Anolis sagrei: one gene and its partners. Each later gene encodes a partner of the first gene's protein in a complex. Links are inferred from orthologs where the notes say so. Each region holds a gene or a part of one and is shown in the gene's direction. Other genes may lie near its edges. The genes, in order: YWHAZ, CDC25C, PRKCE and CRTC1.

What was found.
Region 2: the proteins of YWHAZ (region 1) and CDC25C are in contact, whole or in part, in a crystal structure (PDB 5M36), measured with the Homo sapiens proteins. The link is inferred for Anolis sagrei from reciprocal best matches to the Homo sapiens genes YWHAZ and CDC25C. Residues at the interface, in NP_001129171.1 of Homo sapiens: Lys11, Glu14, Gln15, Glu39, Val46, Lys49, Asn50, Arg56, Arg60, Val61, Ser64, Lys120, Arg127, Tyr128, Glu131, Gly169, Leu172, Asn173, Val176, Glu180, Asp213, Leu216, Ile217, Leu220, Asn224, Trp228; in NP_001274511.1 of Homo sapiens: Gly210, Tyr212, Arg213, Ser214, Pro215, Ser216, Met217, Pro218, Glu219, Asn220, Leu221, Asn222, Arg223, Arg225.
Region 3: the proteins of YWHAZ (region 1) and PRKCE are in contact, whole or in part, in a crystal structure (PDB 2WH0), measured with the Homo sapiens proteins. The link is inferred for Anolis sagrei from reciprocal best matches to the Homo sapiens genes YWHAZ and PRKCE. Residues at the interface, in NP_001129171.1 of Homo sapiens: Asn42, Ser45, Val46, Lys49, Arg56, Lys120, Arg127, Tyr128, Gly169, Leu172, Asn173, Val176, Glu180, Leu216, Leu220, Asp223, Asn224, Leu227, Trp228; in NP_005391.1 of Homo sapiens: Lys365, Ala366, Leu367, Ser368, Phe369, Asp370, Asn371, Arg372.
Region 4: the proteins of YWHAZ (region 1) and CRTC1 are in contact, whole or in part, in a crystal structure (PDB 7D8P), measured with the Homo sapiens proteins. The link is inferred for Anolis sagrei from reciprocal best matches to the Homo sapiens genes YWHAZ and CRTC1. Residues at the interface, in NP_001129171.1 of Homo sapiens: Asn42, Val46, Lys49, Arg56, Arg60, Lys120, Arg127, Tyr128, Glu131, Gly169, Leu172, Asn173, Val176, Tyr179, Glu180, Leu216, Ile217, Leu220, Asn224, Leu227, Trp228; in NP_056136.2 of Homo sapiens: Arg147, Arg148, Thr149, Asn150, Ser151, Asp152, Ser153, Ala154, Leu155, His156.

What each region holds. Positions count from the first base shown.
Region 1 is NC_090024.1:30,751,145-30,759,150, forward strand, and holds the start of YWHAZ (14-3-3 protein zeta/delta), read left to right. Parts: upstream 1-4,992; 5' UTR 4,993-5,118; intron 5,119-8,006.
Region 2 is NC_090022.1:76,158,542-76,166,456, forward strand, and holds the start of CDC25C (M-phase inducer phosphatase 3), read left to right. Parts: upstream 1-4,908; 5' UTR 4,909-5,138; intron 5,139-6,346; 5' UTR 6,347-6,359; coding exon 6,360-6,547; intron 6,548-7,200; coding exon 7,201-7,298; intron 7,299-7,915. Other genes in the region: oocyte-specific histone RNA stem-loop-binding protein 2-like, read right to left, coding at 4,465-4,517. UniProt on the Homo sapiens protein: Functions as a dosage-dependent inducer in mitotic control. Tyrosine protein phosphatase required for progression of the cell cycle. When phosphorylated, highly effective in activating G2 cells into prophase.
Region 3 is NC_090021.1:27,413,667-27,420,573, reverse strand, and holds the start of PRKCE (protein kinase C epsilon type), read left to right. Parts: upstream 1-3,903; 5' UTR 3,904-5,323; coding exon 5,324-5,671; intron 5,672-6,907.
Region 4 is NC_090034.1:51,927,924-51,934,984, forward strand, and holds the start of CRTC1 (CREB-regulated transcription coactivator 1), read left to right. Parts: upstream 1-4,050; 5' UTR 4,051-4,063; coding exon 4,064-4,246; intron 4,247-7,061. Other genes in the region: KLHL26 (kelch-like protein 26), read left to right, coding at 1-213. UniProt on the Homo sapiens protein: Transcriptional coactivator for CREB1 which activates transcription through both consensus and variant cAMP response element (CRE) sites.

The sequences.
Region 1 (8,006 bases):
CCCCTGAAGGCCACGTCTCTATCCCATCCTCCTCCTCCTCCTCCTCCTCCTCCCTCACAGTGGCCTTGAATGACTGAGCTTTGGCTCAAGGCCTCTGCAGGCCGGAGACCGGAAAGGAGGAGGAGGAGGAGGCGTCTCGAGTTGGAAGCAGGCCGTTTCTCTGACTTTGTGTGAAGGGAGGGAGAAGGGAAGGGAGGCTGGGGATGCTCTTGTCTCCTTTGGTGGGCCTGTATTATCCTTTTGCCCGCCTTCTGCACAAAAAGAGGGCGAGAAGGAGAAAGCAGAGGAGGTGTCCATCTCCTTCGCAGCCTGAACTGGGAAGGAAGGAGAGAGGGAGGGAAGAGAAAAGAAGAGAGAGAGAGAGAGAGAGGAGCGGCGGGTGCGTGCGGCGCATGCGCGAGCCAACGCGCTCTGCAGTGAGTGGGAGGGGTGAAGGGGAGTGGAGGAAGTTGGGGAGGGAGGGAGGAAAGGAGAGGCGGTGCGCGCGCTCCCGATGAGGGAGCGCGCGCACGAGAGCGCGAGAGTTGGGAAAGGGAAAGGAAAGGGGGGGGGGGGGGGAGAGAGGATTTATTTATTTATTTATTTATTTATCGTGTCATCAGCAACCATACCATTGTATTACATTTCTAACAGAACAAAACAAACACACCGATTAAAAAAAACCAAAAAAAACCCATAGATTTTGCAAACTTGGTAGTTGGTTAAATGTGCTTTGACCAGTATCTGGCCACTTGGAGTGCTTCTGCTGTTGCTGCAAGAAGGTCCTCCATTGTGCATGTAGCAGGGCTCAGGTTGCATTGCAGCAGGTGGTCAGTGGTTTGCTCCTCTCCGCACTCGCATGTCGAGGATTCCACTTTGTAGCCCCATTTCTTGAGGTTGGCTCTGCATCTCGTGGTGCCAGAGTGCAGTCTGTTCAGCGCCTTCCAAGTCGCCCAGTTTTCTGTGTGCCCAGGAGGGAGTCTCTCATCTGAGGTGCTGGGTTTGGGCCTGCCACTTTTGGACTCTCGCTTGCTGAGGTGTTCCAGCGAGTGTCTCTGTAGATCTTAGAAAACTATTTCTAGATTTAAGTCGTTGACGTGCTGGCTGATACCCAAACAGGGGATGAGCTGGAGATGTCTCTGCCTTGGTCCTTTCACTATTGGCTGCTACTTCCCGGCGGATGTCAGGTGGTGCAATACAGGCTAAGCAGTGTAATTTCTCCAGTGGTGTAGGGCGCAGACACCCCGTGATAATGCGGCATGTCTACTGCATGGACTATTGCAACGCCCTGTATTTATTTATTTACGACATTTATATGCCGCCCTTCTCACCCCGAAGGGGACTCAGAGCGCCTTACAAGGTATATATACATACAATATATTATTAACATAGTACAATATCAGTTTTAAATATTGCTATATTGCACTATATCAATTATACTGTAATATTATTAGTAATATTACATGTAATATAAATATATAATTATAATATCATATTATTAGTAGTAGTATTATATTGCATTACATTACATTACAATATTATAAATATTATATGTATATACAATGTATATAATACATATGTTGGCCTTCCAATGTCTACGACCCAAAAGTTTCGTATTGTTCAGAATGCGGCAGCCAGGCTACTCACAAGAACGCCCATGAAATGCCATATAACACCAGTGCTGCTACATTTACATTGGCTTCCAACTGAGTACCGTGGCCTGTATAAAATGCTAGTTCTGACCTTTAAAACTCTTTACGGCCAGGGTCCATCGTACCTTAGGGACCGCCTCTCCTTCTCTCATCATCAGAGGTCGCAACGACCAGCCCAACATGACTTACTCCATATACCGGATCCTAGAGAAGTGCACTTGGAAAGGACCAGGCGCAGGGCTTTTTCTATTTCTGCCCCTGCCTTGTGGAATTCCTTGCCGCCCTACATGAGAGCCATGCGTGACTTAGGGCCTTTTACTCTCGCACTTAAGACCTGGGTTTTTACTAGAGCATTCGATCTCTGTTGATTTTTAATTTTTGTATATATGTATTTTATCTTTTATAATTTAGCTGTAAATCGCCTAGAGCATTCTCGGATGGAGGGCAATTAATAAGTTATTCAAAGATGATGATGATGATGATTAAGAACCACATCCACTGTTTTAGTGTGGTCAGATGTGTTCCACACTGGGCATGCATACTCAGCAGCAGAGTAGCGCAGCGCAAGGGCAGATGTCTTCACTGTATCTGGTTGTGATCCCCAAGTTGTGCCAGTCAGCTTTCGTATGATATTGTTTCTGGCACCCACTTTTTGCTTGATGTTCAGGCAGTGCTTCTTGTAGGTCAGAGAATGGTCCAGAGTGACTCCCAGATATTTGGGTGTGCTGCAATGCTCCAGTGGGATTCCTTCCCAGGTGATCTTCAGAGCTCAGGATGCTTCTCTATTCTTGAGATGAAAGGCACATGTCTGTGTTTTAGATGGGTTAGGGATCAGCTGGTTTTCCCTGTAGTAGGCAGTAAGAGCACCTAGAGCTTCGGAGAGCTTCTTTTCAACCATCTCAAAGCTCTCTGCTTGAGCAGTAATAGCACGATCATCAGCATAGATGAAACTCTCCGTCCCTTCTGGCAGTGGCTGGTCATTTGTGTAGATGTTGAACATGGATGGAGCAAGCACACTCCCCTGAGGCAGGCCGTTCTTCTGTTTCCGCCATCTGCTTCTCTGGCCCTGAACTCAACAAAAAAGCTCCTGTTTTGTAGCAGGTTTCCTATGAGGCGGGTGAGGTGGTAGTCCTTTGTGATATTATACATTTTTCTCAGGAGGAGGCGGTGGTTCACACTATCATAAGCTGCTGACAGGTCTATGAAGACAGCTCCTGTGATCTGCTGCCTTTCAAAGCCATCTTCTATGTGCTGAGTCAGGTTCAACACTTGCAATGTGCAGCTTTTGCCTTTTCCGAAGCCAGCTTGCTGTGGGATCAGTCAGGGGTCTATATTTTCCCAGGTATTTGGGTGTGTTGCAATGCTCCAGTGGGATTCCTTCCCAGGTAATCCTCAGAACTCGGGATGCTTGTCTGTTCTTAAGGTGAAAGGCATGCGTACTCAGCAGCAGAGTAGCATAGCGCAAGGGCAGATGTCTTCACTGTGTCTGGTTGTGATCCCCAGGTTGTGCCAGTCAGCTTTCGTATGATATTGTTTCTGGCACCCACTTTTTGCTTGATGTTCAGGCAGTGCTTCTTGTAGGTCAGAGCATGGTCCAAAGTGACTCCCAGGTACTTGGGTGTGCTGCAATGCTCCAGTGGGATTCCTTCCCAGGTAATCCTCAGAGCTCAGGATGCTTGTCTGTTCTTAAGGTGAAAGGCATGCGTACTCAGCAGCAGTGTAGCATAGCGCAAGGGCAGATGTCTTCACTGTGTCTGGTTGTGATCCCCAGGTTGTGCCAGTCAGCTTTCGTATGATGTTGTTTCTAGCGCCCACTTTTTGCTTGATGTTCAGGCAGTGCTTCTTGTAGGTCAGAGCACGGTCCAAAGTGACTCCCAGGTACTTGGGTGTGTTGCAATGCTCCAGTGGGAATCCTTCCCAGGTAATCCTCAGAGCTCGGGATGCTTGTCTGTTCTTAAGATGAAAAGCACACGTCTGTGTTTCAGATGGGTTAGGGATCAGTTCGTTTTCCCTGTAATAGGCAGTAAGAGCACCTAGAGCAGTGGTTCTCAACCTTCCTGATGCAGTGACCCCTTAATACAGTTCCTCATGTTGTGGTGACCCTCAACCATAACAAAACTGTCATTTTGCTACCATTATGAATCATCATAAATATCTGATATGCAGGATGTATTTTCATTCACTGGTCAAAATTTGGCACAAATACCTGATATGCTCAAATTTGAATACGGGTGGGGTTGGAGGGGTTGATTTTGTCATTTGGGGGTTGTAGTTGCTGGTATTTATAGTTCACCTACAATCAAAGAGCATTCTGAACTCCATCGATAGTGGAACTGAACGGAACTTGTCACGCAGAACTCCCATGACCAACAGAAAATACTGGAAGGGTTTGGTGGGCATTGCCTTGAGTTTGGGAGTTGTAGTTCAAATACATCCAGAGAGCACTGTGGACTCAAACAGTGATGAATCTGAACCAAACTTGGCACAAATACTCAATATGCCCAAATGTGGAGTTTGGGGGGGGAAATAGACCTTGTCATTTGGGTGTTGTAGTTGCTGGGATTTATAGTTCATCTACAATCAGAGTATTCTTGACCCCACCAACGATAGAATTGGGCCAAAACTTCCCACACAGAACCCTTATGATCAACAGAAAATACTGTGTTTTCTGATGGTCTTTGGCGACCCCTCTAACACTCCCTCACGACCCCCCCCAGGGGTCCCGACCCCCAGGTTGAGAAATGCTGACCTAGAGCTTTGGAGAGCTTCTTTTCAACCATCTCAAAGCTCAGTTCTTGTGGGTTTTTTCGGGCTATAGAGCCATGTTCGAGAGGCATTTCTCCTGACGTTTCGCCTGCATCTATGGCAAGCATCCTCAGAGGTGAGGTCACCTCTGAGGATGCTTGCCATAGATGCAGGCGAAACGTCAGGAGAAATGCCTCTAGAACATGGCCATATAGCCCGAAAAAACCCACAAGAACTGAGTGATTCCCAGCCATGAAAGCCTTCGACAATACATCTCAAAGCTCTCTGCTTGAGTGGTAAATGGCACGATCATCAGCATAGGGGAAAAGGAGAGAGAGAGAGAGAAGTGTCCTAGTGAGGCGAGCGCGCGCGCTCGTTCTCGCGGCGGTTGGTGCAGTCCATCGCTTTGGAAAGCGGAAAAAGAGGTGAGGCGCGCGCGAGAGGCAGAGAAAGAGAGTGTGTGTATGTGCGCGCGCGCGAATGGAGGGAGGGGAAGTGTAGGCGCCTTCCAGGGCGCGCGCGCTCTCGCTCCCTCTACCGCCCGCTCGCCGTTGCCATGGCGCCGCTTGACGTCACGGGCTCTGTGTTGCCCGTGCGTTGCGACGCGGTGATTGGCGGAGACCCCGTGCGTGTGTGTGAGAGAGAGCGAGAGAGAGCGAGAGAGGCTGCTGCGAACGAGGGAGGCACAGTCCGCGCCGGTCACCCGCCTAAAGGGACTCTCTCGTAGTGTCGACCCCGCAAGGTAACGAACGGCCTCTCGAGGAGGGTGGGCTCTTCCCATCTCGGTCCCTCCCTCCCTCCGCTTCCTTTGTCTATCGTTTCCTTTCTTTCTTTCCGGGGGGGAGGGAAGGCAGTGGCGGGAAGAGCCCGCAAAACAGGAGAAGTGGGGGGGGGGGGGGGGGAGCGTCGGAAGAGGGAAGAGCCGCGGCCTTGTCTTCTCAGGGCGTCGGCGGCGCCATTCATTCCCTCTCTTGCTGGGGCGCAGGTGCCTCCCTCGTCCTTTCCCTCCCTCAGATCGAGAGGAAGGGAGGAACATGGTTCTGTTTGGAGGGAGGGGGTTTTAAGTGGGCGAGGCGGGGGCGCCATTTTTTCCCTTTCCCTGAGGCAGGTGAAGCCCTCAGGGCGGTGTCCCTTATTTTCGCCAGGAAGAAAGATGGAGGGAAGGGAGGGAGGGGGACTCTCCTCCTTCCTTCCTTCCCTCCCTCCTTCCCTCTCTTTCTTTTCTTTCTTTCTCTCTCTCTTCAGGCATGATGGAAGAAGGGGAAGTGCCCACACCGACCTCCTCTCCTCTTCCCTTCAGTTTGGAGGGAGGGATTTGGAGGAGAGGCAGGCGAGGTGGGGCGCCATGTTGGGGAGCACACTGCCTCCTCCATTCTATTCTCCATTCTCCATCCCTTTCTTTGCTCCCCCTCCCTCCCTCCTTGCCTGCCTCCCTTCCTTCCGCCGCCTCCACTCCTTCATCTCGGGCGCTTTTTTGAAAGGGTGTGGCCGCCGCAGGAGGAGGAGGAAGGGATCGCCAAGAGGCCGCCTCCTTCCTCTCTCTCTCCCCCCCTCTCTCTCCCCCTCCCTTCTTTCCTTCCTTCCTTGGCGAAAACCGGGAGAAATAGGTGGGTCTGTGGATCCTTCCACACAGCCATGTAACCCAGAATATCAAGGTAGAATATACCACAATATCTGCTTTGAACTGGGTTATGTAGCAGTGTGGGCTCAGATAACCCACAGCCCTTCCACACAACCTTATAACCCAGAATAAAATAAAAAAGAGAGGAGGGTGGGTAGTGTTTGAGGCTGCTGGTGATGATTGGTAAAACCTGATGTCTCCTGGACACAGTGATGGCTTAAAAGTACAATTTTGTGACTGGAGATCTGGATTAAGCCATTTTAGATTCTGTTCCACACTGAGAAATTCAACCCACCTAGGGCCCTTCCACACAGCCATATAAACCTGAATATCAAGGGAGAAAATCCCACAATATCTGCTTATCTGAGCCCACACTGCCATATAACCCAGTTCAAAGCAGATATTGTGGGATTTTTCTCCCTTGAGATTCTGGGTTATACGGCAGTGTGGGCTCAGATAACCCAGGGTCCTTTCACGCAGCCATATAACCTCGAATCTCAAGGCAGAATATCCCACAATACCTGCTTTGAACTGGGTTATATGGCAGTGTTGGCTCAGATAACCCAGGGCCCCTCCACACAACCTTATAACCCAGAATAAAATAAAAAAGGGAGGAGGGTGGGTAGTGTTTCAGACTGCTGGTGATGGTTGGTAAAACCTGATGTCTCTTGGACACATTGATGGCCTAAAAGTACAATTTCGTGACTGGAGATCTGGATTAAGCCAGTTTAGGTTCTGTTCCCCACTGAGAAATTCAACCCACTCAGAGCCCTTCCACACAGCCATATAAACCAGAATATCAAGGCAGAATATCCAACAATATCTGCTTTGAACTGGGTTATGCAGCAGTGTGGGCTCAGATAACTCAGGACCCTTCAACACAGCCATATAACACAGAATATCAAGGAAGAATATCCCACAATATCTGCTTTGAACTGGGTTATGTAGCAGTGTGGGCTCAGATAGTCCAGAGCCCTTCCACACAGCCATATAAACCTGAATATCAAGGCAGAATATCCCACAATTTCTGCTTTGAACTGGGTTATGTAGCGGTGTGGGCTCAGATAATCCAGGGTCCTTCCACACAGCTATATAACACAGAATATCAAGGAAGAATCTCCCACAATATCTGCTTTGAACTGGGTTATGTAGCAGTGTGGGCTCAAATTACCCAGGGCCCTTCCACACAACCTTATAACCCAGAATAAAATAAAAAAGAGGAGGGTGGGTAGTGTTTGAGGCTGCTGGTGATGGTTGGTAAAACCTGATGTCTCCTGGACACATTAATGGCTTAAACTTCTCCAGTGATAGGCTGCCTCAGGCAAGAAGAAGTACAATAATAGAATCAAAGAGTTGGAAGAGACCTCATGGGCCATCCAGTCCAACCCCCTGCCAAGAAGCAGGAATATTGCATTCGAATCATCCCTGACAGATGGCCATCCAGCCAATTTTGTGACTGGAGATCTGGATTAAGCCAGTTTAGGTTCTGTTCCCCACTGAGAGATTCAACTCAACTTCCACACAGCCATATAAACCAGAATATCAAGGCAGAATATCCCACAATATCTGCTTTGAACTGGGTTATATGGCAGTGTGGGTTCAGATAACCCAGGGCCCTTCCAGAATAAAATAAAAAAGGGAGGAGGGTGGGTAGTGTTTCAGACTGCTGGTGATGGTTGGTAAAACCTGATGTCTCCTGGACACATTGATGGCTTAAACTTCCCCAGGGATAGGCTGCCTCGGGCAAGAAGAGGTACAATTTTGTGACTGGAGATCTGGATTAAGCCAGTTTAGGTTCTGTTCCCCACTGAGAAATTCAGCCCACTCAGGGCCCTTCCACACAGCCATATAAACCAGAATATCAAGGCAGAATATCCAACAATATCTGCTTTGAACTGGGTCATGGGATGGTGTGGGCTCAGATGACCCAGGGCCCTTCACACAGCCATATAACCCAGAATATCAAGGGAGAAAATCCCACAATATCTGCTTATCTGAGCCCACACTGC
Region 2 (7,915 bases), on another chromosome or scaffold:
CAAACATTTCCTGAACGTATTTATTAGCTAAAATCAATAACTGTAACCTTCTCTGCTTCAACATTTTCAGCAGGTATGCCAGTTTCTATTTGGCAGCCAAGGCTGTTATACATTTAAGCAAACCTACCAAATATCCTAAAGGTGCCAGATCTTTTTTGAGCTTGGAAGCTAAGCAGAGCAAGCCCTGATGAATACTTGGATGGGAGACTACCAATGCCTGGTGTTGTGGGCTCTATTTCAAAGGAAGGAACTGGCAAAACCACCTCTGAGGATTCCTTAAGAAAACCTTATGAGATTCATGGGGTGATGGTAAGTTGACAGGTGACTAGAAGGCACATAACAGAACCAAAGCCAAAGAGGGGCATTGTTGATGTTTATAGCCATGCTATATTCAGCATGGTGAAGTGGTCTATGAACCTAGAGTGGTCTGAGCATTGGAATGAAGTGCAACACTGTCTGAGCTCTGCAAGTGCTGCAGTTTTTGAATGAAACACGAGTGTTTGAAGATCAGGACATTTGTAGGGAGAACAAGATGCTTGTTTACAAAGCTATTGACCGTTTACTGTGAAACATGGACCGTCTACAAATGCCACTCTCAACTTCTGAAAGATTCCATCAGCATTGCCTCAAAAAAAATCTTGCAAATTGCTCGGAAAGACAGGCAGAAAATGTCAGTGTTCTGGCAGAAGAAAAGACTACCAGCACTGAAGTGATGGTCCTCCATCAACTTGGCTAGGCTGGCCACGTTGTTTGAATACCCAGTCACAATCTCCCAAAGTAGTTACTTTAGTCTCAGCTCAAGAATGGAAAACAGAATGTCAGTGGACAGCAAATAAAGATTTAAAGATGGGCTTAAAGCTAATCTTAAAAAAATGTGGAACAAACACAAAAAACTGGGAAGCCCTGGTCCTCAAGCATTCCTCGACTGGAGGTCAGCTTGTTACCAACAGTGCTGTGAATTCAATGAGGTTCAAACAGAAAGCGAAAAGGAGAAATGCACCAAGGAAGGTGCATCAAGCAAACCCTTGCTGTGACCGCCTTCCTGCTGGAAATCTGTGTCCTCGTTGTGAACAACCATGAGCATCCAGAACAGGTGTCTACAGTCAGTTATGGAACCACCACCAAGACTTTACCCTTGGAAGACTATCTTACTCCGCCACAACTGATCACCTATGAATTATTACTCTGAAGACCAGAGTTCAGTTCCCTTTTTGGCCACAGAAAACCCCATGATAAGATCACCATAAGTCAAAAAGAACCTGAAGGCAAACAACAAATATTCATCGTCTTTTTTCATCCTACCCCTATTTTGGTGATCTACTAGTCTATTTCAAAAACAGGTGACATACTAGCAGTGAGCTGCAGCTCTTAAGGTTAGACATTTGTTTTATGAACACCCAATGCATAAGATGATCATCCAAGCAGTTTCCTGTAAATGAGTAACAAGTCGCAGATATTGTGTTGGTCCAGACCAGGGGTCCTCAAACTAAGGCCCGGGGCCCGAATACAACCCTCCAACATCATTTACCTGGCCCTCACTAAGAGTCAACCTAAGTCTGAAACAACTTGAAAGCACACAACAACAACCACAACAACCATCCTATCTCATCAGCCAAAAGCAGGCCCAAACTTCCCACTGAAATACTAGTAAGTTTATATTAAAAATCATTCATTTTAATTATTGTATTGTTTTTAAGTGTGTGTGTGTGGGGGGGGGGGTGTTGCACTACAAATAAGATATGTGCGGTGTGCATAGGCATTCATGTTTGGGAGTTCTAGGCCAAAAAACTCTGTTTAAAAAGTTTGTGGACCCCTGGTCCAGACAATAAAAACAAAATTGAAAAGCCAATTTCCAGACTAACTTTTCACCACTTTTTATATTGTTCATAACAGGAACAAAGCCTTAAATGTAACCATCCTTATGGTGAGAAATGATGCTGTTAAGAAAAGCAAAACTAGAATTAGTCCGAAAGGAGCAGAGGAGCTTCTTACATCCATTCTTTCCACAAGTTAGTGCTTGTTTAAAATGCAGGATGTTTCAAAAAGATGCACCTGATTTGAAATCACGATCTGCTATCAGAAACTACCCATAAATGAAACACTTCCTACTTGAAAAGGTGGGGCATAGAATTTCAAATGATTACTGCTAGGTTCTTCTCCCAATACACAAATAGTCTTTAGCCAGAGTTAGAGGACATTTCTTCTCCTGCAACTAGAAAACAAACATTTACTATTTTGAGCCCCTGCTAAAACCCAATTGTCCAGTTTAGACCAGTGGTTCTCACTCTTTGGTCCTCCAGGTATTTTGGACTAGAGTTCCCAGAATCCCTGACAATAGGCCAAACTGGCTGGGACTTCAGGGAGTTGAAGTTCCAAAGGCATCACAGGTTAAGGCTATTTGGGGCACATGTGTGCATCTATACTATAGAATTAATGCAGTTTGGCTCCACTTTAACCACGATGGCTCAAGACTATGGAAACCTAGGAGTTGTAGTTTTCCAAGATCTTAGGTTTTTTCTACCAAACAGAGCTCTAGAGCCTCACTGAGCTACAGTTCCCATGATTCCATAGCATCAAGCCATGGCAGTTAAAGTGGCCTCAAACTCCACTTATTCCTACAGTGTAGATCAGGTCTGGGCCAACTTGGGCCCTCCAGGTATTTTGGACTTCAACTTCCATCATTCCTAACAGCCTCGGGCCCCTTCCTTTCCCCCCTCAGCCGCTTAAGCGGCTGAGTCACCATGAGTCACCTTCGGCTTTGAGAAAGGCGGGATAGAAATATCATAAATAAATAAATAATAGAGTTTGCCTATGCCTGGAGTAGATGCACCTCAAAACTAGGGGGAAAAGGGAAGAGGAGGGGGGCAGGGGGCAGTTCCACCTTGTCTCCTGTGCTATGCTAATAATATAATATATAATATAATATTGGGTTGTTGTAGGTTTTGTTGGGATATATGGCCATGTTCTAGAAGCATTTTCTCCTGATGTTTCGCCTGCATCTATGGCAAGCATCCTCAGAGGTAGTGAGGACCTCACTCCTCTGAGGATGCTTGCCATAGATGCAGGTGAAACGTCAGGAGAAAATGCCTCTAGAACAGGGGTCCTCAAACTTTTTAAACAGAGGACCAGGTCAGTCTGTCAAACTGTTGGAGGGCTGGATTAGAATTTGAAAAAAAAATGAATTCCTATGCACACTGCACATGTGTTATTTGTAGTGCAAAAAAACCCAAACACTTAAGACAATACAATATTTAAAATGAAGAATAATTTTAACAAATATAAACGTTTTAGTATTTCAATGGGAAGTGTGGGCCTGCTTTTGGCTCATGAGATAGGATTATTGTTGTTGTTGTTGTTGTGTGCTTTCAAGTCATTTCAGACTTAGGTTGACCCTGAGCGGGAGCCTTGGAGGGCCGCATCTAGCCCCCAGGCCTTAGTTTGAGGACCCCTGCTCTAGAACATGGCCATATAGCCCGAAAAACCTACAACAACCCAGCGATGCCAGCCATGAAAGCCTTCGAGAATACATTAATATAATATTATTCATTTATTTATTTACCATTTTTATATACTGCTCTTCTCAGCCCATGGGTGACTCAGGGCAGTATAATATAATATAATGTAGACTAACAGAATATTTATAATAATATAATGTAATGCAATATACTACTATTTATTTATTTATTATTTATTTATCGTGTCAGGGGCAACCAGATAATTGTATTACATTTCTAACAGAACAAAAGCAAACAAACAAACAGACAAATAACAAAATTGGCAGGTTTGGTAGTTGATTAAATGTCCTTTGACCAGTATCTGGTCACTTGGAGTGCCTCTGGTGTTGCTGCAAGAAGGTCCTCCATTGTGCATGTAGCAGGGCTCAGGTTGCATTGCAGCAGGTGGTCAGTGGTTTGCTCTTCTCCATAATTATAATAATATGATATTATAATTAAATATTTATATTACATGTAATTACTAATGTTGTTGTTGTTCATTTGTTCAGTCGTCTCCGACTCTTCGTGACCTCATGGACCAGTCCACGCCAGAGCTCCCTGTCGGCCGTCACCACCCCCAGCTCCTTCAAGGTCACTCCAGTCACTTCAAGGATGCCATCCATCCATCTTGCCCTTGGTCGGCCCCTCTTCCTTTTGCCTTCCACTTTCCCCAGCATAATTGTCTTCTCTAGGCTTTGCTGTCTCCTCATGATGTGGCCAAAGTATAATGGTGTAGTACAATATAGTAATATTTAATACTGAAATTGTACTATGCTAATAACATAATATAGTGTATCTGTATATGTGTGTGTGTGTGTGTATGTATGTATCTATATATATATATCTTGTAAACCACTCTGAGTCCCCTTCCGGGTGAGAAGGGCGGCATATAAATGTCGTAAATCAATAACTATCTTCCCTTAGCCCTGTTTAGGACTGCTAGGCTGCCTCTCCTTCCACAGTCTGTTACCTGCTGCTCCCGGGAGCCCAGCTCTCAGTCCCAATTCGTCCACACTGCATCATCCACCAAGAACATCACCGGCGTAGTTCTAAGGAGTCTGTCTCCACCTCCACGGTTTAAATCTCCCTCCTCGTGAAAGGCAGGGCGGAGCCTGGAACGCATCTCCAACCAATCGCATCGGGTTGGGTAAGTCCTCTGTTCAGTGATTGGCTGGACTGGATCAGGTTGGCTATCCTCCACCGCCGAAAAATAACAAAAAGGATCAGGAAGTCCCCGCCTACCGCGGCTTCTTCCAATAAGCTTTTCCACGCGCCCTCCTCCTTGACGTCACTGCGAGCATCGGACCAATGAGAAAGCTGTTGAAAGGACAGCCGGAGCTTTTCTTCTTCTGGGCTTCGCTGATTGGCTGGGAGGGCGGAGGGCGTGGCTTGTGATTGGTTGATGTTAGGGCGGCAAATTGAATAGTCTGACATTCAATTGTGTTCTTGACGGGAAGGGCGGGGTGGGTCAGTTTGTCCACAAGGAAGGGGGGACTTTTTGAAGGACTTGTTGAGACTGCGCGGAACTGGGGGCTGCCAATTCGTATTGCTGTCTTAATTGCAGAACCTGCAGCCAGCCAGCCTTGTTAGTGGACAAGATCCAACGGGTTTGACTTTTCTAAAGCACCACTGACACCCCTTAAGGTGGGTTTCGACCATATAATACCTTTTATCTCTGTAGCTGGACATAGGTTCACCTACACCTAGAATTAATTCAGTTTGAAACCACTTTAATTCTCCTGGACCACTGCTATGGAGTTCTGGGATTTGTAGTTTGTTGAGGCACCAGCTCTCTTGGTAGAGAAGGCTAAAAGTGTGCAAAACTACACCTCCCATGATCCCATAGCATCGAGGAATGGCAATTAAAGTGGTGTCAAACTGCATTAATTTTATAGTATAGATGGGTATGAGCAAACTTTGGCCCTCCAGGTGTTTTGGACTTCAACTCCCACAATTCCTGGCCTCAGGCCCCTTCCTTTCCCCCCTCAGCTGCTTAAGCTTAAGCGGCTGAGGGGGGAAAGGAAAAGGCCTAAGGCCAGGAATTGTGGGAGTTGAAGTCCAAAACACCTGGAGGGCCGAAGTTTGCCCATGCTCAGTATAGATGCATTCGTGGTTCTAGTGCTTGTGCTGTTTCTTTCTGTTTATACAGGTTGAATCATCCTTATCTGAAATACGTGGCAACAGAAGCATTTCATATTTTAGGATATTTACATATACATAATGAAATATCCATGCAGTCATGCTAGCCACATGACCTTGGAGGTGTCTATGGACAACGGCGGCTCTTCGGCTCAGAAATGGAGATGAGCACCACACCCCAGAGTCAGACATGACTGGACTTAATGTCAGGGGACAACCTTTACCTTTTAATGAAAGATCTTGGTGACGGGGCCCAAACTTAAACACAAAATTCATTTATATTTTATGTGTACTTTTACACACATAGGCAAAAAGGAACTTTATATGCAATTATTGTAAAATAAAAATAACTTTGTGCATGAAACAAAGTTTGTGTACATTGAATCAATGTCAGAAAAAGCAAAGGTGTTGCTATCTCTGCCACCCTGGTGGGCCTTTTTGGATTTTAGAGGATTATGAAATTTTAGACAAGGGATGCTCAAACTGTATTTTGCCTTAAATGGTGTCAAAGGAGCAGAACAATGTACTGTCAGGGGAATTATTTTTGCTAATTTAGTGCATGAGAAAAAGTTTGTTTCAGGAAGAACAGATGTCCCTGTCTCAGCCACCCGTGTGGACAATTTTGGAAGATTTGGGTTTTTTGAATATGGAATGCTCAATCTGTAGTAGGGGGGAAAGGAGTAATAGTAAGTTGTGTATATGTCTGTCTTCAGGTGTCTGCTCATCATGTCAGAGAGCATTCCTCCCACTGAAGCGGATGTGCTTCGTTCAGACCTTGGGTTTCGATCTGGCTGCAGGACGGTGCTTAATACTTTCCGGGAATCAGAGATCTCTCCACCTCTTTCTCCACAACTACCTCTTACTCCAGTCTTGAGTATAACCTGGGATTTTGGGAACCTCAGCACACTAGGAGGGTAAATATGTTCAGGGCAGTTATGTGGAATGGAAAATACAGTCAGCTCTTTGTATCCATGGATTCTGCATCCACAGGTTCCAAGATCTTGATTTTGCCATTTTAGATAAACCTTGATTTTACTGCGCCATTGTATATAATGCAGTGGTTCCCAACCTTTTTTGACCAGGGACCACTCTCCAACATTAATACCAAAAGGGTTACAAATCAGTTTTTGGTCAACTTTAGATTCAGTTTGGTTATTTGGGGTGCTGATTCAGAAAATTGCATTGAATAGTCCACATCAGCTCTAGTTCCTGGTACAGAACATACGCCATCCAGTAGTTGCCATCTGCTCACCCACAGAAAACCATATTTAATAAGCCTCGGTACTATAAGAGGGTTTCAAGAGACCAGTCACTCTCATTGCAACTGTGCAGACCACTGGTGGTCCACGGATCACAGGCTGGGAACCACTGATATACTGGAACTTGAGATCCACAAATTTTGGTATTCATGCAGGGTGGTTGGCAAATATGACTCCTATGGGCCAGTGGAAACTAGACACTCGATCTCCTAACCTAGGTTCTGGTCCAGCACTGCCAGAGCCAAAACACACTGGAGTTCTATACACTGTGTTTCTATCTACTTATTCCTTTCACTATATTTTTGCAGGGACACTCCAAGACGCTGCCTAGATCTTTCCAATCTCAGTAACGGGGAAGAGGAAATTGTCTTCAACTTCAGCCAGTCCTCAAAAACTTTGGAAAATGGTAATAATCACTTCCAGAAACACAGTTCTGATACTATCTGCTATTTAATCATTTCCACAATAAATATAACTGTGCAACTACACTGCAGATTTAATGTAGTTTGACATCACAATAATCATGGCTCAGTGCTATTGAAACATGGAAGCTGTAGTTCTGCAAGGTCTTTAGCCTTCTCAGCCAAAAAGTGATGGTGCCTCAGCAAACTACAAGTCCTATGATTCTTTAACATCAAGCCATGGTAGTTAAAGTGATGTCAACTATTATTTCTATAGTGTCGATGCACCTAATGGTAATATATTTTCTTATCACAAGTCTTGTCAACCAGCTCATCTTTTTCAACCCCTTCTGATAAGTTTATTTATTATTTATTTATTTACAGTATTTATGTACCGCCTTTCTCACCCCGGGAGGACTCAAAGCAGTTTGCCATAAATCAGAAATGACCTTAAGACACTCAAGGTCAACCTGAGTTATTGTCTCTTAATCTCCTGCCTAATCCTGGTAATGTGACTTTCCACAGGAATTAGAGCCTTCACTTTCCTCTTTCTATTCAAAGCATATTGTAAAAAAAAAAAAAATCCAGCTTCAGCGAAGTACTTTGTTTTGGATTACCTTTA
Region 3 (6,907 bases), on another chromosome or scaffold:
CAAAGTAAGTACTTCATAATTAAACAGGAAACAATACTTTCAAACCAGGAACAGAATTTTTTTCAAATATTGCTAAAACTGTAATCCACCCTGTACGCTCAGGTCCCAGGGAGAATATTTACTTGTCAGTCTGAACTAAGTTTTATTTATCCATCCACCCCCAGATTGTGGAAGGACCTGTTGATTAGTCAGATGGTAACACTGTCTGCAGGTTATTTTTGTTATGAATATTAAAACATTGATTTAAATATACATTGGTTCCATATGCTTCATAATATGCATACATTGGTTCCATATGCTACATGATTGCTCTATGGTTGTTCCCCACCTCAATCCAAAGAGAGAGGCAGATAAGAAATAAATAGGAATATGGTATCTATAGGCCCCCTGGTGGCGCAGTGGTTTAAATTGCAGAGCTGCTGAACTTGCTGACCGAAAGGTTGGTGGTTTAAACCTGGGGAGCAGGGTGAGCTCCCGCTGTTAGTCCCTGCTTCTGCCCACCTAGAAGTTTGAAAACATGCAAATGTGAGCTAATCAATAGATAACACTTCTGTGGGAAGGTAATGGCACGCCATGCAGTCATGCTGGCCACATGACCTTGGAGGTGTCTACTGAAAATGCCGGCTCTTCGGCTTAGATATGGAGATGAGCACCAACCCCCAGAGTCGGACACGACTAGACTTGATGTCATATAGCCCAAAAAACAACCCAGTGATTCCATGAAAGTCTTCAACAAACGTCTTGTGTCCAATTCTGGGCACCACAATTAAAGAGAAATATTGACAAGCTGGAAAGTGTCCAGAAGAGGGAAACTAAAATGATCAAGAGTCTGGAGAACAAGCTCTATGAGGAGCGGCTTAAAGAGCTGGGCATGTTTGGCCTGAAGAAGAGAAGGCTGAGAGGAGATATGATAGCCATGTATAAATATGTGAGAGGAAGTCATAGGAAGGAGGGAGCAAGCTTGTTTTCTGCTGCCCTGTAGACTAAGACGTGGAACAATGGCTTCAGACTACAAGAAGGGAGATTCCATCTGAACATTAGGAAGAACTTCCTGACTGTGAGAGCCGTTCAGCAGTGGAACTCTCTGCCCCGGAGTGTGGTGGGGCTCCTTCTTTGGAAGCTTTTAAACAGAGGCTGGGTGGCCATCTGTCAGGGGTGCTTTGAATGCAATTTTCCTGCTTCTTGGCAGGGGGTTGGACTGGATGGCCCATGAGGTCTCTTCCAACTCCAGGATTCTATGATTCTATGAATACAAAGCCAAGATGGTTCCTATTGCCATCGGAGTCGACCCTTAACCTTCGGGAAGGAGAGGGAGGAAGGAAGGAAGAATAACAGAAAGAAAGAAGATGACAGGAGAAGAATTCAAAATGATCTTAACATATTAGAGCAGGGGTCCTCAAACTAAGGCTCGGGGACCAGATACGGCCCCCCAAGGTCATTTACCCGGCCCTCGCTCAGGGTCAACCTAAGTCTTAAAATGACTTGAAAGCACACAACAACAACAACAACAACCCTATCTCATCAGCCAAAAGAGGCCTACACTTCCCATTGAAATACTAATAAGTTTATATTTGATAAAATTGTTCTTCATTTTAATTATTGTATTGTTTTTAAGTGTTTTTTGCAAATAAGATATGTGCAGTGTGCATAGGAATTCATTCGTGTTTTTTTTCAAATTATAATCCGGCCTTCCAACAGTTTGAGGGACTGTGACCTGGCCCTCTGTTTAAAAAGTTTGAGGACCCCTGGATTAGAGAGATGGACCAAAACTAGCAAAATGAAGTTCAACAGTGCAAAATGCAAGATGCTCCACTAAGGCAGAAAAAATGGAATGCCAAGATAAAGAATGGGGGATGCCTGACTCAACAGTAGTATGTGTGAAAAAGATCTTGGAGTCCTCGTGGACAACAAGTTAAACATGAGCCAACAATGTGATGTGGTGGCAAAAAAAGCCAGCGGGATTTTGACCTGCATAAATAAGAGTATAGTGTCTAAATCCAGGAAAGTCATGCTACCCCTCTATTCTGCCTTGGTTAGACCACACCTGGAATACTGTGTCCAATTCTGCGCACCACAATTGAAGGAAGATGTTTATAAGCTCGAATGTGTCCAGAGGAGGATGACTAAAATGACAGCGATTCCGGCCATGAAAACCTTCGACAATACAAAACCAAGGGGGTTCCTATTGCTATTGGAGTCAACTCCTAACCATCGGGAAGGAGAGGGAGGGAAGGAATCATAGAATCATAGAGTTGGAAGAGTCCTCATGGGCCATCTAGTCCAAACCCCAACTAAGAAGCAGGAAAACTGCATTCAAAGCATCCTTAACAGATGGCCATCCAGCCTCTGCTTAAAAGCTTCCAAAGAAGGAGCCTCCACCTCACTCTGGGGCAGAGAGTTCCACTGCTGAACAGCTCTCACAGTCAGGAAGTTCTTCCTAATGTTTAGATGGAATCTCCTTTCTTGTAGTTTGAAGCCATTGTTCCGCGTCCTAGTATCCAGGGAAGCAGAAAACAAGCTTGTTCTCTCCTCCCTGTGGCTTCCTCTCACATATTTATACATGGCCCTCATCATGTCTACTCTCAGGCTTCTCTTCTGCAGGCTAAACATGCCCAGCTCCTTAAGCCGCTCCTCATAGGGATTGTTCTCCAAACTCTTGCTCATTTTAGTTGCCCTCCTCTGGACACATTCCAGCTTGTCAATATCTCCCTTCAATTGCGGTGCCCAGAATTGGACACAAGATTCCAGGTGTGGTCAAACCAAGGCACACCTGGTCAGTATCAACAAAAATAATGTTATGGTTGGGGGTCATCACAACGTATTAAGGGGTTGCAGCATTTGGAAGATTGAGAAACACTGGTCTAGAAATGGCCATACAGCCAGAAAATCTACAACCCAGTGATTCCATGAAAGCCTTCAACAATAGAGAGCCAAGGGGGTTCCTATTGCTATTGGAATCGACCCCAAACCATTGGGAAGGAGAGGGAGGGAGGAAAGAAGAAAGACCTAAAGCAGTGTTTCTCAACCTGGGGGTTGAGACCCCTGGAGGGGTCGCGAGGGGGTGTCAGAGGGGTCACCAAAGACCACAAGAAAACACAGCATTTTCCGTTGATCATGGAGGTTCTGTGTGGGAAGTTTGGCCCAATGCAATTGTTGGCAGGGTTCAGAATGCTCTTTGATTGTAGGTGAACTATAAATCCCAGCAACTACAACTCCCAAATGTCAAGGTCTATTTTCCCCAAACCCCATTAGTGTTTACATTTGGGCATATTGAGTATTTGTGCTAAGTTTGGTCCAGATCCATCATTGTCTGAGTCCACAGTGCTCTCTGGTTATAGGTGAACTGTGTGCCAAGTTTGACTCAATTCCATCATTGGTGGAGTTCAGAATGCTCTTTGATTGTAGTTTAACTATAAATCCCAGCAACTACAACTCCCACAGGACAAAATCAATACCCTCCCCCAATCTCACCAGTATTTAAATTTGGGTGTATTGGGTCTTTGTGCCAAATTTGGTCCAGTGTATGAAAATATATCCTGCATATCAGACATTTGCATTACTATTCATAACAGCAGCAAAATGACAGTTATGAAGTAGCAATGAAACTAATTTTATGGTTGGGGGTCACCATAACATGAGGAAGCGTATTAAGGGGTCGTGGCATTAGGAAGGTTGAGAACCACTGACCTAAAGAAACAGAAGGAGAGAAAGAAAGAATGAAAGAAAGAAAGAGAGGTGCGCCCTTCTCTTCCTCCTCCTCGCCTCCAATCTGCCCCCAAGTGAAAGGAGAAGCCCCCTGTCCACACTCCCCCCCCCCCAACTTTGGTGTGCCTGGCCCAGAGCGCACGGCTCCCCCAAGAGGCAAAAACTTTCTCTCTCTCTCTCTCTCGGCGCGCACACAGAGGCACACATCGCTCGCCCCTGACGTCTTTTGCGCATTTCCTGCACTGGAGAGAAACACACACACACAGAGAGACAGAGACACCGAGGTGGAGGGGGGGGAACGCTTCGGAGATCAGCCCGATCTACACTCGCCCCCCCTCCCTGTCCTCCCCATTTCCCAACCCAACGCGCTTCTTTTTCCCTTCCCAACCCAACGCGCCAGGCAACCAACGCCGTTGCGGGGTGGAGCGCTGTTGCATTAAGAAAATATATTAATTAGAGAGAGAGAGAGAGACAAGGAAACGCAGCAAGAGAGGGGGAGAGAGAGAGAGAGATCCCCACGCCTTTCCTGCCCCCTCCCTCCTCCCCTCCTTCCCCCCCAGCGATCCGGATCAGTGGCTCCCCATGCCTTGGATCCGATCCACTGGATCTTTGGCCTTGGAGGCAGAGGAAGAGGAGGACGCCGAGAAGAAGGCGGCGGCGGCGGCGGCGAGGAAGCGGCTGCAGCAGCAACAGCCGAGGCGGATGTAAGGCTCTCCGGACTGGGAGATTTCCCCCCCTTTTTTGATCTCTTCCTCCCTCCCCTTTTTCTCAAGCCAAAAAAGAAAGGAAGGAAGAAATCGGGCGGCTGCGTCAAGGAGGCAGGGCTGGGTGTTTGGCTTGGGTGGCGAAGGAGGGCTCTTTCTTTCTCTCTCTCTGTGTGTGTCTCTGTTTCTGAGATTCCCCTCCCTTCTCTCTTTCTCTCTCTCTCTTCTCCCCCCTTCCCCCTTTCCTCCCCTCCTCTCCCCTCCCTTCTTGTGTTGTTTCTTCTCCTGCTGCACACCCAGACAAGACAGCACTAGAGCGTTGCAAGGACGCCGGATTGCTTTTTTGGTGTTGTTGTTGCTGCTGCTGCAGAAGGAAGACTTGATCCAGGATTATGCTCTAAAGAGGGGTGGGGGAGAGAAAGGGGGGGAGGGAAGAGGGGAGGGGAAGAGGAGGAAAGTCCATGTGTGTGTGTGTGTGTGTTTGTGTGAAAAAATAAATGCACCCACCCTCCTCTTGATTGTGCATTTTGGGATTTCTGCACACCAGGGACTGTAGAGCGCCCTCCCCTCCTTGTTTTTGTCTCTCTCTCACACACACTAGCAAAGAGTCTCAGTCTCCCCTATGTATGTCTATGTATGCATGCATGTATGTCTTCACTGGGTGTCGCAAGAGGAAAGGCTAACTCAACATAGGTAGCAAGCAACCAAAAGGAACCCCCTTACTCTCAGGCTGCTTTTCTGCCAGAACCCTTCTTTTTTTTTTTTTTTTGCCGAAGCCCGCCTTCTTATTTATTGGAGGAACCTCCACACTGATCTCGCTCCTGGCTTCACAGAGTGTGCTTTTCGTCCCAAGGGGGGGAAGGAGGCCGACGACCAGGACCAGGACACAGAGTCCCAAGTGAAGCCATCTCACCATGGTGGTTTTTAATGGCATGCTGAAAATCAAGATCTGCGAAGCCGTCAATCTCAAGCCCACCGCGTGGTCACTCCGCCATGCCGTGGGTCCCAAGCCCCAGACCTTCTTGCTGGACCCGTACATTGCCCTCAATGTGGACGATTCCAGGATCGGGCAGACTTCCACCAAGCAGAAGACCAACAGCCCTGCATGGAATGATGAGTTTGTCACGGACGTGAACAACGGACGGAAGATCGAGATGGCCGTTTTCCACGATGCCCCCATTGGGTACGACGATTTTGTGGCCAACTGTACGATCCAGTTTGAAGACTTGCTGCAGAATGGGAGCCGCCACTTCGAGGACTGGGTGAGTGGCCAGACCGTTTGCGCATCCGTGTCGGTCTGGGTTGGTTTATCTGTCAGTCTAGATACATGGCTTTTGAGCTCAGTGGTATATCACTCTTTGTTTGACAGATGTGTCGGTGACATGCCACATCTTGGAAGGCAGGTGGAGACGGTGAAAGCAGGTGGAGATGGTGGTCAGGCAGGTGCCCACATTGTACATCTCTGGATGATGTGTTTTTCAAGGCTTCCAAGTCTGGCATGTGAGCATGGAGGCACACTCAATCCTGTCCTCCCCACTGAGTGAAAATATTTTAGCCTTGACAGTTACCAGTTTTATTTGCACATGTCTCTCATGCAAGCGATTCCGAATATTTTTCTTAAGTAAGCAGACAAGTAAATAAAATGTAAAGGTTTCCCCTAACATTAAGTCTAGTCATGTCCAACTCTGGGGGTGATACTCATCTCCATTTCTAAGCCAAAGAGCTGGTGTTGTCCGTAGACACCTCCAAGATCAAGTGGCCCGCATGACTGCACGGGGCACCGTTACCTTCCCGCAGAAGTGGAACCTATTGATCTGCTCACATTTGCATGTTTTCGAACTGCTAGGTTGGCAGAAGCTGGGGCAAACAGCAGGAGCTCATTCTTCTCCCTGGATTCGAACCTCCAACCTTTTGGTCAGCAACTGTAGCAGCTCAGTGGTTTAATCCACTGCACCACCAAGGGGCCCTTACAAGTGTTTGCTTACCTAGACATGTACTTATTTCTAAATTTTCCAGAGCATAAGCGAACATGAGTGACTCTTAGGTTGGGCTCCTGGTGCCTTCTGGTGGTTACAGGGTTATGCTTGCCCAACCAGTGTTTGACTTTCGATCAGGCATGGGCAAACTTGGGCCCTCCAGGTGATTTGGACTTCAAGTCCCACCATTCCTAACAGCCTCAGGATCCTTCCTCCCCCCCCCCCCCCCCAGCCACTTAAGGGCTTGAGGCTGTTTGGAATTGTAGGAGTTGAAGTCCTAAACACCTGGAGGGCCCAAGTTTGCCCATGCCTGATCAAGACAGTCTTTTGCTGAGCAGCTTTAGCACAATGGCAAAATAAATACCAAGGTCCCCCTCCCCCCCCAGGTCTTTAATTCCCCAGTAATATCTAGCGCACTGGCATGGAATCATACAGTTCTATAGGGTCCCAAAGACCATCTAGCCCTAACGTTTGTCATAACTAAATCTCCTGAGATAATCACAAATAGCTTAGCAAAAGAGT
Region 4 (7,061 bases), on another chromosome or scaffold:
AGGGCTGGGCAGTCAGAGGCCGGCTGCTGCCTCTTGGAGGACCGCATTTACGTGGTGGGGGGTTACAACTGGCATCTCAACAACGTCACCAGTATCGTGCAGGTGTACAACACCCAGACCGATGAGTGGGAGCGGGACCTGCACATCCCAGAGTCCTTTGCGGGCATTGCCTGTGCCCCAGTCGTCCTCCCACAGGACGTGGCCCGGAGGTGACCCTCGCAGCCGTCCCTTGGGTCTCCAGATGCACTGCATGCCAAATAAAGCTGTATCTCGGCGGCTGGGCCCTTCCGCCTTTATTTATGAACATACGCCTTCCTCTTTTCGAACCTGCAAACATTAATATGAGTCAAACCTGACTAGAGGATGGCAACTTCTCCCTTTACTGTTGGTTTTCCTCTTCCTTCGGCCAAGGCTTTATCCCCATTTTGTGTGAATCAAATCACTTAAAGTAAGTGTGGGCAAACTTTAGCTCTCTAGGTGTTTTGGATTTCAGCTCTCACAATTCCTAACAGCTGATAGGATGTTATGAATTATGAGAGTTGAAGTCCGAAACACCTGGAGGGCCGAAGTTTGCCCATGCCTGACTTAAAGCAATAAGAATTATAAGAGGGGTGGAGGTGGGGACTCTATAAAGGAACGAAAAATACTTGGTTTCATACCTGTTATTTTGTTTCCTCCTTGAAAAGCACACCTGGTTTTTTTTGCTGTATTTCTATGACATCATTTACCTATTTATTTCTATCCAAAGTAGTCAGGCCTCTCTTCTTTCCTCCAGTGCCTTGGGATCTCAGTAAGAGGCTGATTGGACGGCCTTCGATGTTGTTTTTTTCTCTCCAGAAAGGGAATAAATAATACATTTTATTTCTCTCTGCTTCAGCTAAGTTAAAGAAACCCTGCTGAGTTTTGCTCCTTTGCAGCAGAAATCGAGGCCGAATCTGGCCATTATTTGTCCCTAAAAGAGCAATGGCCAGGCTGTCTTTCTTTAGTGATAGAGTGGGATTTGGAATACAGCTTTAAAGTCATCATTGAAGCTCTAAAAGGAAAGAGCAAGGGCACCGAAACATGCATGTCGTCTCCCTGTTGGGTATTGTCGAATGTAAACATTAAAGTCGATATTTCCAAGCGTGTTTGAGTGTGTCTGTTGTCTGTATGACAGATGGGATGCCAAGATCACACTATAAGCATGTTTGGCACAGAGCTGCTTTGACTTGTATGGTGGAGCTTTCTATACATGGATGATTATAATGATGATAAAATAATAATTGTAATAGTATAATCTGGTTAAGGAAAGCTCTTGTGGTTTTTTTTTTGTTGTGTCAGGAGTGACTTGAGAAACTTCAAGTTGCTTCTGGTGTGAGAGAATTAGCCGTCTGCAAGGACGTTGCCCAGGGGACGCCCCGGATGATTTTGATGTTTTTATCATCCTTGTGGGAAGCTTCTCTCATGTCCCCGCATGAGGAGCTGGAGCTGATAGAGGGAGCTCATCCGCCTCTCCCCAGATTCGAACCTGCGACCTGTCAGTCTTCAGTCCTGCCGGCACAGGGGTTTAACCCACTGCACCACTGGGGGCTCCAGCTCTTGTGGTAATACTAATAACAATAATAATAATAATATCTATGTAAAGAAAGCTCTTATTTATTTATCGTGTCAGAAACGAATTGAGAATACAGTTATAACGTATAGGAGAACCACAAACAAAGTTACAAACTTGGCATTATACTATTTCCTTTGAATAGAAGCTGGCCACTTGGAGCGCCTCTGTGAGAAGGCTTTTCATTGTGCATATGGCAGGACTCATGCTGCATTGTAGTAAGAGTGGTTTGCTCTTCTCTGCACTTGCATGTTGTGGACTCCACTTTGTAGCCTCATTTCTTAAGATTGGCTTTGCATCTCATGATGCCAGAGAGCAATCTGTTCAGCACCAAGTCACCCAGCCTTCTGTGTACCCAGGAGGGAGTCTGTAATCCAGTCTCAGCCACTGATTGAGGTTCCGGGTTTTAGCCTGCCACTTTTGGACTCTTGCTTGCAGAGTTGTTCCTGTGAGTATATCTGTAGATCTTAGGAAGCTATTTCTTGATTTAAGGCAGTGCCATGTTGTCTGGTATCCAAACAGACGAAGGGCCGGAGATGTCAATGACTTGGTCCTTTCACTGGTGGCTGCTATTTCCTGACGGATGTCAGGTGGTGCAGTACCGGCTAAAAAGTAAAATTTCTCCAGCGGTGTTGGGCATAGACATCCTGTGATAATGTGGCATGTCTCATTAAGATCCACATCCACTGTTTTAATGTGGTAAGATGTATTCCATGCTGGGCATGTGTACTCAGCAGCATAGTAGCAAAGCGCAAAGGCAGATGTCTTCACTGTGTCTGGTTGTGATCCCCAGGTTGTGCTTTCAGCCTTCATATGATAATATTACTAGCACCCACTTTTTGCTTGATTGTCAAGCAGTGCTTATAAGTCAGCGCACGGTCCAGAGTGACTCCCAGGTATTTGGGTGTGCTGCAATGCTCCAGTGGGATTTCTTCCCGGGTCATCCTCAGAGCTCGAGATGCTTGTCTGTTCATAAGGTGAAAAAGCACATGCCTGCATTTTAGATGGATTAGGAATCAGATGGTTTTTCCTATAATAGGGAGTAAGACCATCTAAAGTGTTGGAGAGCTTCTGTTCAACCATTTCAAAGCTCCATGCTTGGGTGGTGATGGCACTATCATCGGCATAGATGAAACTCTGTCCCTTCTGGCAGTGACTGGCCATTTGTGTAAAAGTCAACTATTGATGAAGCAAGCACTCTCCCTTGAGGCATGCCGTTCTTCTGTTTTCGCCATCTGCTCAACCAGAAAGCTCCTGTTTTGTAGCAGATTTCCTATGAAGCCGGTGAGGTGGTAACCCTTCGTGATAGTATACATTTTTCTCAGGAGGAGGCGATGATTTACAGTGTCATAAGCTGCTGACAGGTCTGTGAAGACAGCTCTGACAATAATGATAATCATAAACATGAAAACTCTGATGCTATTATTTATCCACATAAAGAAAGCTCTGATATCCATGTAAAGAAAGCTCCGATAATAATAATAAACCTAAAGAAAGTTCTAATATTATTCGTATTATCCATGCAAAGGAATCTCTGATGTTGATAAAAATAATCCATGTAAAGAAATCTTTGGTAATAACTATAATAACTTAATAATATAGTAATAATTACTTTTTATCCATGTAAAGAAAGCTCTGATATTATTATCATCACCGCCATCCATGTAAAGAAAACTTATTCTTATTTAAATAGAAAGATAAATGGGGCCTTCAAAGGAGCGTATGTGTATATTTAGAGCAGGGGAAAGCCTCTTGCGCATGCGTTGTGTGTGTATATATATCGGAGTGTAACGGTTCCCGACTGCTCTATGTAGATAGCGGGGAAGCCTCTGCGCATGCTCTGTGTATTTAGCGGAGGAGGCCTTTTGCGCATGCGCTCTATATATAACGGAGAAAGCCTCTTGCGCATGCGTTCTTTGAATATAGCAGAGGAAGCCTTTTTCCCATGCTCTGTGTACAGCGGGTAACCCATTGCGCATGATCGCTGTGTGTGAGTATATAGCGGTGGGGAACCCTTTGCGCATGCTCTGTGTGTGCAGCTAGCGGAGGAAGCCTTTTACGCATGCGCTTTCTGTATATTGCAGAGGACGCTTTTAGCCCATGTTCTGTCTGTGTAGATAGCAGAGGAAGCATTTTGCGCACGCGCTCGAAATAGAACGTAGGAAGCCTTTTGCGCATGCGTTCTCTGTATTTAGCCGAGTAAGCATTTTGCTTGTTCTGTGTGTGTATGTGTGTATATAGCATCTAAGTCTTTTTGCGCATGCGCTATGTATATATAGTGGCGAGGGAACCCTTTGCGCATGCGCAAGCAAGAAAGCTTTGTCGCTTGGAGGCATGCGCCTTTCCTGAAGTCGGCCCCTTCTCACGCGTGCGCAGTGAGGGGTGAGGAAATAAAAGAGGGCCTCCGCCTCCTCCGCGATGGCGCGTGCGCAGTGCGTGCGTGTGTGTGGGGGGGAAAGGATATAGACGCGCATGTGCAGTGGTGCCCGGAGGACGGGGGGAGGGAGGGATGCGGACGGGGCTAAAATGGCGGCCTCGTCGAACAACCCGCGGAAATTCAGCGAGAAAATTGCGCTCCACAACCAGAAGCAGGCCGAGGAGACGGCGGCCTTCGAGGAGGTTATGAAGGACCTCAGCCTAACCAGGGCCCACCGGGTAAGGAAGGCCTCCGGGCCCAGCAGCGGGCAGGGGACGCCCAGCAGGGGACGCCCGCCCCAGCCTCTCCCCTCAGGAAAACGGGGCTTCGCGGGGGGCGCTACGGCCTACGCCCCGGGGAACTAACGGGGAACGCTCAGGGATGGGCGGGGAGGCCAGGTCGGGGGAAAGCAGGCAGGCGCAAATCAAAACAACAGGGTTCAATTCCTCCCTTCCTCAGCTAGAGCCCCGTTTTAGAAGGATTTCTTCTCATATATTATCGTATATTATTATTATTCCCCTCCTGAATGTGTAGGGCTCTATGATATATTAATATTATTATTTGATACACAACAAGATTTTAGTACTCAGCTGGCTTTTAGAAACATAGAATCATAGAGTTGGAAGAGACATGGTGGGCCATCCAGTCCAAGCCCATTCGGCCAAGAAGCAGGACAATCTCATTCAAAGCACCCCCAACAGATGGCCATCCAGCCTCTGTTTCAAACCCTCCACCACACTCCCGGACAGGGAGAGAGTTCCCCTGCAGAACAGCTCTCACAGGAAGTTCTTCCTAATGTTTATGTGGAATCTCCTGGACATTTGTATTGGATCACACGTCGGACACTTCCCAAGTGTTTAGGACTGTGTGATGTATCGGTAAATAATGTGTGCAGATCCCAGTAGGGTGACCTTTGGCAGCTGACAGATGGTAATTTTGTCAGCGCTGATTGTTTTCAAGTGCAGGCCAAGATCTTGTGGGTCTATGATATATTATTGTTTTTGTTGTTGTTGGTATATCTATGATATAATTATATGGTTGAATTCCCCTTGTAATACGATACCATATTATATCTATGATTTATTATTATTATTATTATTATTATCATTGTATTGTCGAAGGCTTTCATGGCTGGAATCACTAGGTTCTTGTAGGTTTTTTCGGGCTATAGGGCCATGTTCTAGAGGCATTTCTCCTGACGTTTCGCCTGCATCTATGGCAAGCATCTTCAGAGGTAGTGAGGATACTTCTGAGGTACCTCTGAGGTAGTGAGGATACCTCACTACCTCTGAGGATGCTTGCCATAGATGCAGGCGAAACGTCAGGAGAAATGCCTCTAGAACATGGCCGTATAGCCCGAAAAAACCTACAAGAACCTAATTATTATCATTATTATTATATGGTTGAATTCCCCTCCTGATATTATACTATATTATAGTTATTATATCTATAATATATTATCATGGGTGAATTCTCCTCTTGAATGTATAGAGATTGCTGAAATTAAATTATCAGTATTATTATATTTATTATATATCATCATTGTTAGTATTACTTTTTATCCAGTGGGTTAAACCCTTGCGCAGTGGGTTAAACCCTTGTGCCAGCAGGACTGCTGGACCAGAAGCAACTTGCAGTTTCTCAAGTCGCTCCTGACACACAAAAAATGTTATTATTAGGTTGAATTCCCCTCCTGAATGTATAGGGATAGCTGAAATTAAATTATCATTACTATTAGGTTGCATTCCCCTTATTAATGTATGGGGGTCTGTGAATTATTGTTATTATTAATGATATTATTATTATATGATTGAATTCCCCTCCTAATATGATAGTATAGAATTATATCTATGATATTGCATTATTGTTATTATTAGGTTGAATTCCCCTCATTAATGCATAGAGGTCTATGATTTATTATTATTATTATTATTATTATTATGGTTGAATTCCCCTTCTGGCTGTATAGGGGCATATGATGCTGTTATTGCTGCTGTTGCTATATGGTTACATTCCCTCCTTTCTCAGATTCATTCCCATTCCTCAATGTTTATGCAAGGATTCCCCCTTTGAATGTATAAGGGTCTGATAATAATAATAATAATAATAATAATAATAGGTTGAATACCCCTCCTGAATGTATAGGAGTATACCCCCCTACTGTGTGTGTGTGTGTATGAATATGTATATAGGTTAATTCCCACTCTCCAACTTATATGCATGAATCTCCACTCCTTAGTTTATAGAGAGAATCCCTCCTCTCAGTTTATATACTAAACCCTCAATTTAGATGCAATAATTCCCATTCCTCAAGTCATATGCAGTAATTCCCATTCCCCAGCTTATTATAGGCTGCATCTCTCCTCTTAGTTTATATACTAAACCTTCAGTGTATATAGATTAATTCCCAGTCTTCAATTTATATGCAATAAACCTCTTCCTCCTCGGTTTATATGGATTAAATCCCACTTCTGAGTTGATATGGATTCAGTCCTACTCTTCAGTTTATAGGCAAGCATCCCCTTCCTTGGTTTAGAGAAACAAATCCCTTTTCTCGGTTTATATTCTGTATCCACCCTCCTTGATTTACATGGATTGCTTCCCATTTCCCACAACTTATGCGCAAAACCATATGCTTGAGAGAAAGGTGGGTCTGTTGCTGTACATTTAACAACTTCTTGTTCCTTCTTTCCCTTCAGAAAAGGAGTGATCTGTAGATACAGGTTGAGCATCCTTTATCCAGAATCCAGAAATTACCTTCAATGAAACACAAATGCATTTCATGCCTAGACTTGGGTCCTATGTCTAAGATCTGGAATATATGTCCAATAAGGGATACTCAACCTGTGAGAAGGACTCAAGAATGCATATAGATAATATTACTGTTTTATATGTTATCTATCTATCCATACGTTTGAGCAGAGGTGGAGGATGAAGGGGTAACTTCATTGTGAGTTTCCATATTGTGAGAAGGGCATGTCATAACTCTGCTAAATAATAACACATAAAAAAACAACTAACACCTTCAGTTTGGAATTGAATCATGGAACTGAA